Bombyx mori: one gene and its partner. The protein of the gene in region 1 interacts with the protein of each later gene in a biochemical or structural test. Links are inferred from orthologs where the notes say so. Each region holds a gene or a part of one and is shown in the gene's direction. Other genes may lie near its edges.

What was found.
Region 2: the proteins of E3 ubiquitin-protein ligase AMFR (region 1) and ubiquitin conjugating enzyme form a complex in vitro, tested with the Homo sapiens proteins (7 studies listed by BioGRID, with this or other methods). The link is inferred for Bombyx mori from reciprocal best matches to the Homo sapiens genes AMFR and UBE2G1.

The regions. Positions count from the first base shown.
Region 1 is NC_085125.1:14,678,090-14,681,918, reverse strand, and holds part of E3 ubiquitin-protein ligase AMFR, read left to right. Parts: intron 1-323; coding exon 324-581; intron 582-1,393; coding exon 1,394-1,546; intron 1,547-2,501; coding exon 2,502-2,612; intron 2,613-2,688; coding exon 2,689-2,867; intron 2,868-3,829. UniProt on the Homo sapiens protein: E3 ubiquitin-protein ligase that mediates the polyubiquitination of lysine and cysteine residues on target proteins, such as CD3D, CYP3A4, CFTR, INSIG1, SOAT2/ACAT2 and APOB for proteasomal degradation.
Region 2 is NC_085122.1:9,585,944-9,590,543, forward strand, and holds the start of ubiquitin conjugating enzyme, read left to right. Parts: upstream 1-1,620; 5' UTR 1,621-1,708; coding exon 1,709-1,754; intron 1,755-2,133; coding exon 2,134-2,236; intron 2,237-2,570; coding exon 2,571-2,668; intron 2,669-3,349; coding exon 3,350-3,528; intron 3,529-4,600. Other genes in the region: myb-binding protein 1A, read left to right, coding at 1-827. UniProt on the Homo sapiens protein: Accepts ubiquitin from the E1 complex and catalyzes its covalent attachment to other proteins. In vitro catalyzes 'Lys-48'-, as well as 'Lys-63'-linked polyubiquitination. May be involved in degradation of muscle-specific proteins.

The DNA.
Region 1 (3,829 bases):
CCCGAGCACAACAATGGCGGAGAATTTTAAGTGCGTGAGAGCAGACGTAGACACTAACGCGCATGCACACTTGTCAGTACCCAGGGAGGAGAAGTTACACTTTCATCCCTGTACAGCGGTATGAAAAATTTGACTTTCTTCCCTGTACAGCGGGAGGAAAACCGAACGGCGTAGGTAGGAGAAAAATAGATATCTAGTTTTGTTTGTTCAGTTGAAGCTTTTTACAGTGTTTATGATTACGATAAGTAGGACGGTAACGAGGAGCTAAGTACCAACAAACGTATTTTTTTTATTGTTATAATATAATCATATTTTGTTGACAGACATTAATAAACATAGCGTACTGCTTCCTCGCCGTCTTCGGTTTCCTGATCCAGCGCGTCGTCTTCGGTCAGCTCCGGGTCTCTGAGGCTCAGCGCGTCAAGGACAAGTTCTGGAACTATGTCTTCTACAAATTCATCTTCATCTTCGGAGTAATCAACGTTCAGTACATGGACGAGGTGATGCTGTGGTGTTCTTGGTTTACTCTCGTCGGCTTCCTGCACCTGATGGGGCAGCTGTGCAAGGATCGATTTGAATATGTAAGTTAGCTAAACTTGATTAACTTAAGATAACATAACAGCAAACTGCGATAATATTTCTTCACTCTTCTAGCAATCAGTCCTTTATTAGGCCATACAAAAGAATACAATATCCTAGAACTAGGATAACTCACGTTAAAAGATATACTAAAAATCTGAAAATACTACTAACATGTGTACCATGTAAATGTGTACCATTTGTGTGTAAGTGTATATGAGGGAGTGGCCCACAGTATCTTAAGAAAGCGTCGGAACGCTACTTCGACAAAGCGGCGACTTATCCGATCGAGACGGAGCAACGCAAAACCGCCGTCGTCCGAAACATGTCTTGTCGGATCTCCCGCATTCACTCTCGGTGCTTTAAGGATCCTCAAGCACCGATCACCATCCTCGTCGAACTTATCGATGACGACGAAGAGTTCGACGGCACAGCCCATAGATATAGCCTTTTGAGTTTCTCGCCGGATTTTCTCAGTGGGTCGTGATTCCGATCCGATACAAGGTTATCCCGTTTTAAAGTTGAACAAATTGCTTACAGCTCCTGTGTGTAGGAACTAGCATATTATTATAATTCGTCGTGAAATCTCCTATCCCGCGTACAAATATAGTTTTCGAGAAAATCTAATAAAACTACTTCCTGAAAAAAAATATGCAAATATTTTTTTAGCACATACGATACTTCGATCTACAACACAATACAAACCGACACTTAGGATTTTTTCATAATATATGACATCATTTTGGCCCAAAATGACACATAGGAGATTTTAAATTTGCAACGACGAATTGTAATTTGGGAATATTTTGTTCAGCTAGCGTCGTCGCCCAACACAGCACGTTGGGTGCATGTTCGACTGGTCGGTCTACTCCTGGGTATACTGGCCGCCTCCACTGCCTTATTGGGCGTTGCAGTCGCATGGGGCTTGCCCGCCGGAAAGGATACTTTCGCGTTTATGGCTGCTGAAGTAAGTTTTATTTTTGGATATCGATTACAAGTTGTATACGAGTCTGCGGACAGGGGAGATACCGGCTGCATGATGAGCACGTAGTGTACTGATGACAACAGAGAGCAGATAGAGGTAATCTCGAGCGACGTGCTTGCGCCGACACGTCGCGTGCTTAGATAACTGACTGACTATGAGTATATGAGATGCATCAGGATAATAAACACAATTTACAAAACACATTTCTATGTCACTAATTTCTTATACCTATGCATAACACGAATTGTTTTTGTTACAATATAATCTATACTGGTTAAAAAAATAAATGGGTGGAATAGTTTATTGTCTCTCTCTTTCTTTACTAATTAATTAAAAAATATTGTATTTTTCTTCCTATTTTCCCTACGCAATCGTTGGTATCCTGAAGGTCTATTCTATAACTACGCGCGGGCAGTATCTGCATCTATTGAAAGTAATTTTAGCTGCATTAGTGGGTTTCACCCGCGTCGGTGTACACGAGACACGGTGTAGTTATGCGTTCGCGGTAGGCAGCGGCTTGTCTCTGCCCCTGGCATTGCTGAAGTCCATGGGCGACGGTAACCACTCACCATAAGGTGGGACATATGGTCGTCTGCCTACAAGGGCAATAAAAAAAAGTTACCTTAATTGAAATGAAGTGAGAGTAGCGCGTTTTTTTTTATTGCTTTGATGGGTGTACGAGCTCACAGCCCGCCTGGTGTTAAGTGGTTACTGGAGCCCATGGACATCTACAACGTAAATGCGCCACCCACCTTGAGATATAAGTTCTAAGATCTCAGTATAGTTACAACGGCTGCCCCACCCTTCAAACCGCAACGCATTACTGCTTCACGGCAGAAATAGGCAGGGCGGTGGTACCTACCCGCGCGGACTAACAAGAGGTCCTACCACCCGGAATAAAAGCGCGTTCCAAGTTCCCTGTGTGGGTCTGTTCCAGTGCCTGCTGGTGCTGATGTCGGTGCTGCACGTGGGCGCGCGCTACGTGCTGCAGCAGCGCGGCGCGGACGCGGCCGGCGCGCTCGCCTACTACACGCACCTCGGCTTCGATGTAAGCTCCGACACCGCGCACCCTCACTGCACTAGCACTCCACACCCGGCAACACTAATGGCGCCGCCGTTTGCAGTCGGCGTCCCTTGTGCTCGAGCTGATGCACGTGGTCCACATGGTGGTGTACAGCAACATGTTGGTGTCGATGGCGTCGCTGGTGCTGCTCATGCAGCTCCGCCACCTGCTGCACGAGCTGCAGGCGCGGCTGCGGAGGCACCGCCTCTACACATCGCTCGCGGACCACATGAGTCGCAAGTACGTCACCGTCACCTCTCAACCAGTCCCTTACAGTGTGCTAGCGGCGTGGCCTGCCGCGTCCCTCACGACCTTCATGTTTTACAAATCAAATCATATCAAACCAAAAAAATTTTATTCAACATAAATGAAAGTACACACTTGTTGAACGTCAAAAAGAACTACCGCCAATTCACAAAACCAGCCTCCGCCCTGAGAAGAACTGGCAAGAAACTCAGCGGGCATGTTTTTTTTTTTTAAATATTAGATTTTTTTTAAATATTCATTTTTACAATGATTATTATAACGTAACAATTATTGCATTATTGAAATGCCCTGAGCGAGCAACTCATTCCCACTTTGTGCAATCTTCTAGATAATCATTGACTTTATAGTAAGCTTTATTGCACAGATGTTCTTTAATAGTTTTCTTAAACCTATGTATATGTAGGCTCTGAACATCTTGTAGGATTTTGTTGTACATTACCCAAACGCTGGGTTACTGATTAACTTATTCGTTTACCTACTTATTAACTGCAAATGTATAACTTGCCACCACATCGGCAACGGGCGCACGATCTAATTTTTATTTTTTTATTGCTTAAATGGGTGAACGAGCTCACAGCCCACCTGGTGTTAAGTGGTTACTGGAGCCCATAGACATCCACAACGTAAATGCGCCACCCACCTTGAGGTATAAGTTCCATGGTCTCAAGTATAGTTACAACGGCTGCCCCACCCTTAAACCGAAACACATTACTGCTTCACGGCAGAAATAGGCAGGGTGGTGGTACCTACCCGCGAGGACTCACAATAGGTCCTACCACCAGTATAGCGACCGGTGTCTTTAAAATAATTATCGATAAAATAAAAGTGTGAATTGCTCCCTAATGCTACCGGTGGGAGGACGTATGGTGCCCTCGCAAGTTTGGGTACCACAATCTTACATATACGGCGATCTCATATTGAGTCGCCCTAATATA
Region 2 (4,600 bases), on another chromosome or scaffold:
TTACTGCAGAAATACTCAGCGACTATCTGAGATCGGTAATGGATAAAGGGGAAAGATCCCACTTTATGTATCAAGCTTTAGGTGATGTCGTAACATACTTTGTGACGTTCATAATACATTGCTCACAAAAAATCGAAAGCAGTAGTTTAAAGTCACCAAAAAAGCTTAAAACGTCTCCCATCATGGAACTGCTAAAGGAAGCAACACAAAACTACTTCCAGAACCGCAGTTGCTTGTTACCAATCATTCTGTTTCACAACGTTCTACAAATGGAATGGGAAGGAATTTATGAGTTAGCCCCGATCGTAATCGAGAATGTGTTCAATCCCGAAGTTAGACAGTTCCGGCGCAACGAGGGATTGGAACTTTTGGCGGGCCTGTATCGAGCCTTGAAGAGAAACAAACCCGAAACGGATAAAGCGCTCGCTTGCCTAGATAATTTGGAAAATAAATTTGATATTACATTAAGAAAAACACTGAAGGGGCAACAGCAATTGGCTGTCAAAAACAATTTCTTCCTATTACTAAAAAAATTGATAAACAGCATGAAAATTTTCCACGAGAGCTGCCATGTTAAATGTAATTTAGATTTTAATACTTTGTTAGAAATCGTAGGTTCTTGTAAGGGTACACTAAAAGCGAGTGAAAATAATAAGAAAGCTAATGCGATTAACCAAAATAGTAAAAATGGTGAAATCGCGAGTAAGCAGCCTAAAAAAAATTTAAAGAATAATATAAAAAACAAAAGAAAACTAGAACACATGAACGGACACGCTGATGCGCACGGAAAGAAAAAACGAAGAGATTCTGAAACAGTTGATTTGTAAAATATTTTTTGTATAATTTATCATTTTCACAATGAATATAATTATTTTACATAATTTAAAAATTTCGTCTTTCTTTCTTCCCTTTAGTTTAGTAAAATATTAACTCAAAATATGCATTCAAGCTTTGACTACCTAACTTTGGATATAAGTTATTCAAACATAATTTATTTAAAACCAAAGCTAGTATGTACATAGCGACATCTATAAAAAAGGTTATTACACTCTGTGAAACGCTCAATAGGTGGCGTTATAAATATCCGCTCTGAGTTACTAGACCAAATAAAGTTATTAGAAGATTGAAGTGTGGAACACATGAAATACCATTGTTTTGGATAAAATATTTCTTAGTTTTTAAGGGCATGCACTTTGTGACAGTTAAGGGATTCAGTAACTAGACTAGACTCTAATACTTTTAAGTTTTGAACAATAGCTTCATTTCTTTGCCTCCTTAAAAATTACAGAAAATGTTGACTAATCTCATCGCATTATTTAAACCTAATCAACAGAATTGTCGTAATCAATATGAAGTTTGGCGTGTAGAAAGGCTCAAACGAAGCGATATGTTTTCTTAAATTCACTAACTTCTTATGACAATATAATACAAAGCATTTACCAGAGCTCAAGAGCTTTCCTACGTTACTTAGATAGTAAAAAACAATATTGAAAGAATAATAAAATTATATTTTAGCTGTAAACCAAACCATATAATTAAGATTAATCAGTGACAGTAGAATGACACAGAAAATATATGGCAACACAAAATCAACCGGAAGTAAGTAGTAACTCATATGTTTCACAACCTGCTCAAAACTCTGCCAGCCATCTTTTGTCGAAAAATCATTTGTTTCGTGTCTTCAGGGTAAATTTCACAATTGTAATTAATGTCAGAGCCACAGTCTTCGCTTTTATTAAAAAAGCAATTAGCTGGTAAGTTCTTATTTAACATAAAACTCATGTATAATATGCCAGTCACCGCGCTAGTCAAGTTCTGAACGAAATTCGTTGACCTTATCGAGTCAAATTTGGTAACTATTAATTGTAGTATTTAACGCATTTATAGATTATATTTCAGGTCTAATGGAGTTAGGTTAATTAATGAGGAATAAACCTGCCAAATAAAATCAATATCCGTTGCGATGACAGGTACACTTTGCCAAAGTCAAACTGTAGATCGAGTGTATTTACGATTTGGATTTGGCAAAGGTTCACATTACTGGCGAACAATGCGGTTAAATGTCCATAATCTTCCGATCTGTGCATTGTCGTTTGTAAAATGAGTGTCTTTTAAATCTTTTTTTTATTTCAGAACTGAACAAAAACCCAGTAGAAGGCTTTTCTGCTGGCTTAATAGATGACAATGATATATACAAATGGGAAGTCCTCATTATTGGTCCCCCAGACACACTATAGTGAGTAAATACCCAAGTTATATATAGTTCAAAGCTATATCTCTCAGTAATCACTATTATTAATTGTTTGCATATTGTAATGTTTATAAAAATGCTGGTGGTATGGTGTATAGCCTTTAAGATGTGTAGATGTATATCATCCTGCATATTTTTTGAAAGAAGCTTCAAGTTATTCAGTTCTGATGGTTCAAGGCAGGTGGCAACATTCACATTGTGATGTCTAAAGACTCCTGTAACCACCATACAGGCTGCAAGTTTTTTAACCATCTATTTAATAAAGAAAAGTATTAAATTATGAGACATGTTGTTTATTCTTAATAAAAATAATTTTCAGCGAGGGAGGTTTCTTTAAAGCACATTTAAATTTTCCCAAGGAATATCCTTTGAGACCACCCCGGATGAAATTTGTGACTGAAATATGGCATCCAAATAGTGAGTATGATGATAATTTTTTTTAGTTAATAATAGTAGAGTATTTTTAACATTTTAAGTTTAGATTACTTTTATATTGACTTAAAGCTAAACAAACCCATTAAGTTTGTTTTGCGAGTGCTTATCATAAATTAGATGTCTAAGTATTTTTTGTTTTGTTTTGATACACTGAATTAGAGAAATATAGCATTACTGTAAAGTGCTTCACTCATTAAAATCTAAGGGTAATTTGATTGGTACAAATTCATTATGATTACAGCTAATAAATATTGTATAGAAAATAAATATGAAAACTACAGTATTTATAATTATTGAACGTATTGTTCATCCAAACGAGTCTGTACTGTCCTGACTATTTCTGTTTCAAAGCAGTGTCATTCAATACAATTGAGACTGACTTGATGTCTAAAACTGGATAATGACATTTACAAAATGGGATCTTCACTCTGGTAACTATAACACCAGGTGGACCATTACACAATTGACTCCATATATCCAATAAATAAATAAGAGTTTAATAAAAAAGCAAAGGTGAACTTCTTAGTACCATGGATTTACTATGTGGGTGCCTTCTATTATATTTTAGAGAGGAATTTATGGTGCAGGTTTAAGGAGTCCCTACAAATGTGGATTACACTCGAATTATTTATGTAATTAATGTAATGAAAATATGACTTTCAGTTGATAAAAATGGTGATGTCTGCATATCAATACTTCACGAGCCAGGTGATGACAAATGGGGTTATGAAAAAGCTTCAGAACGATGGTTACCTGTGCACACAGTTGAGACTATACTGATCAGTGTCATTTCAATGCTCGCTGATCCAAATGATGAGAGTCCCGCTAATGTTGATGCTGCAGTAAGTGGTTTTTTTTTTGCACGTAAAATGTTTCCATTTTAATTCAATAATTTCATTGTAGTTGTAAATGTTTTTGTTATAGAATATTATATTATATATTACTTAACCTATTAAATGCATTTGTAGCAATTTATATAGCTTAGAGCAGGCAGAACATGATGCTAATATACCAAATAGTTGATAGGCAAACTGTTGTTTGTGTTGTAATGTCCAAAATTAAAACTGATATTTCAGTTCGCTTTCTTTAATTGAATTTAATAATTTAATTCATTAATGAATGAATTCACGAATGAAATTTAATTCATTAATATTTAAAAATTAATATCATTTTAAACTTTCAGACACACATTTGTATATCATTAGGGAATTAAGCAGGTAGCGATCACTAACATATTATTTAAACACATCACACACAAAGACACTACTTTTGTACTAAGAGAGGCATAATATAATCTTCCCTAACTAGATATCTTTACTATTCTCGATCATTATTTTTCTGAAGTATACCTTAAAATTTTGGATATGTATATTTTTTTAACTCTTGGATTTCCCTAACAAAGAAATAAAATATTTATCAATACAAAGTTGTACTTTTATCTATAAAATATAAAATGCTTCTGTAGGAATAATTTGTATTATGTAGATAGTTGATTTAACTAACTCTCTTGTACAAACCTTTTTTTTTATTGCTTAGATGGGTAGACGACTCACAGCCCATCTGGTGTTAACCTAGCAATGCTCAGAAACAAATTATGCATAAGCAAGATATAAGCCAGGCAAAATTCAAATTCAATCTTAGTACAATTATTCAAACTGATAGAGAATAGAAACTGTTCTATAAATATAGAATCTGAACATTTAATATGTGGGCGTACATACCTTTACGCACATTGAATTTGAATGTTATTTTTAAACAGTGACACTATGCTTTTTGTTGTGATTATAAGGAACATTACAAATATACTGATTTATCAAAACTGTCCACACCCCACCCATTGTACAGTTATGACTATGCCACACCTCTGCAGAACCAATGACAAGTGTAAGGTTTCAACTCACAATATATAATGAT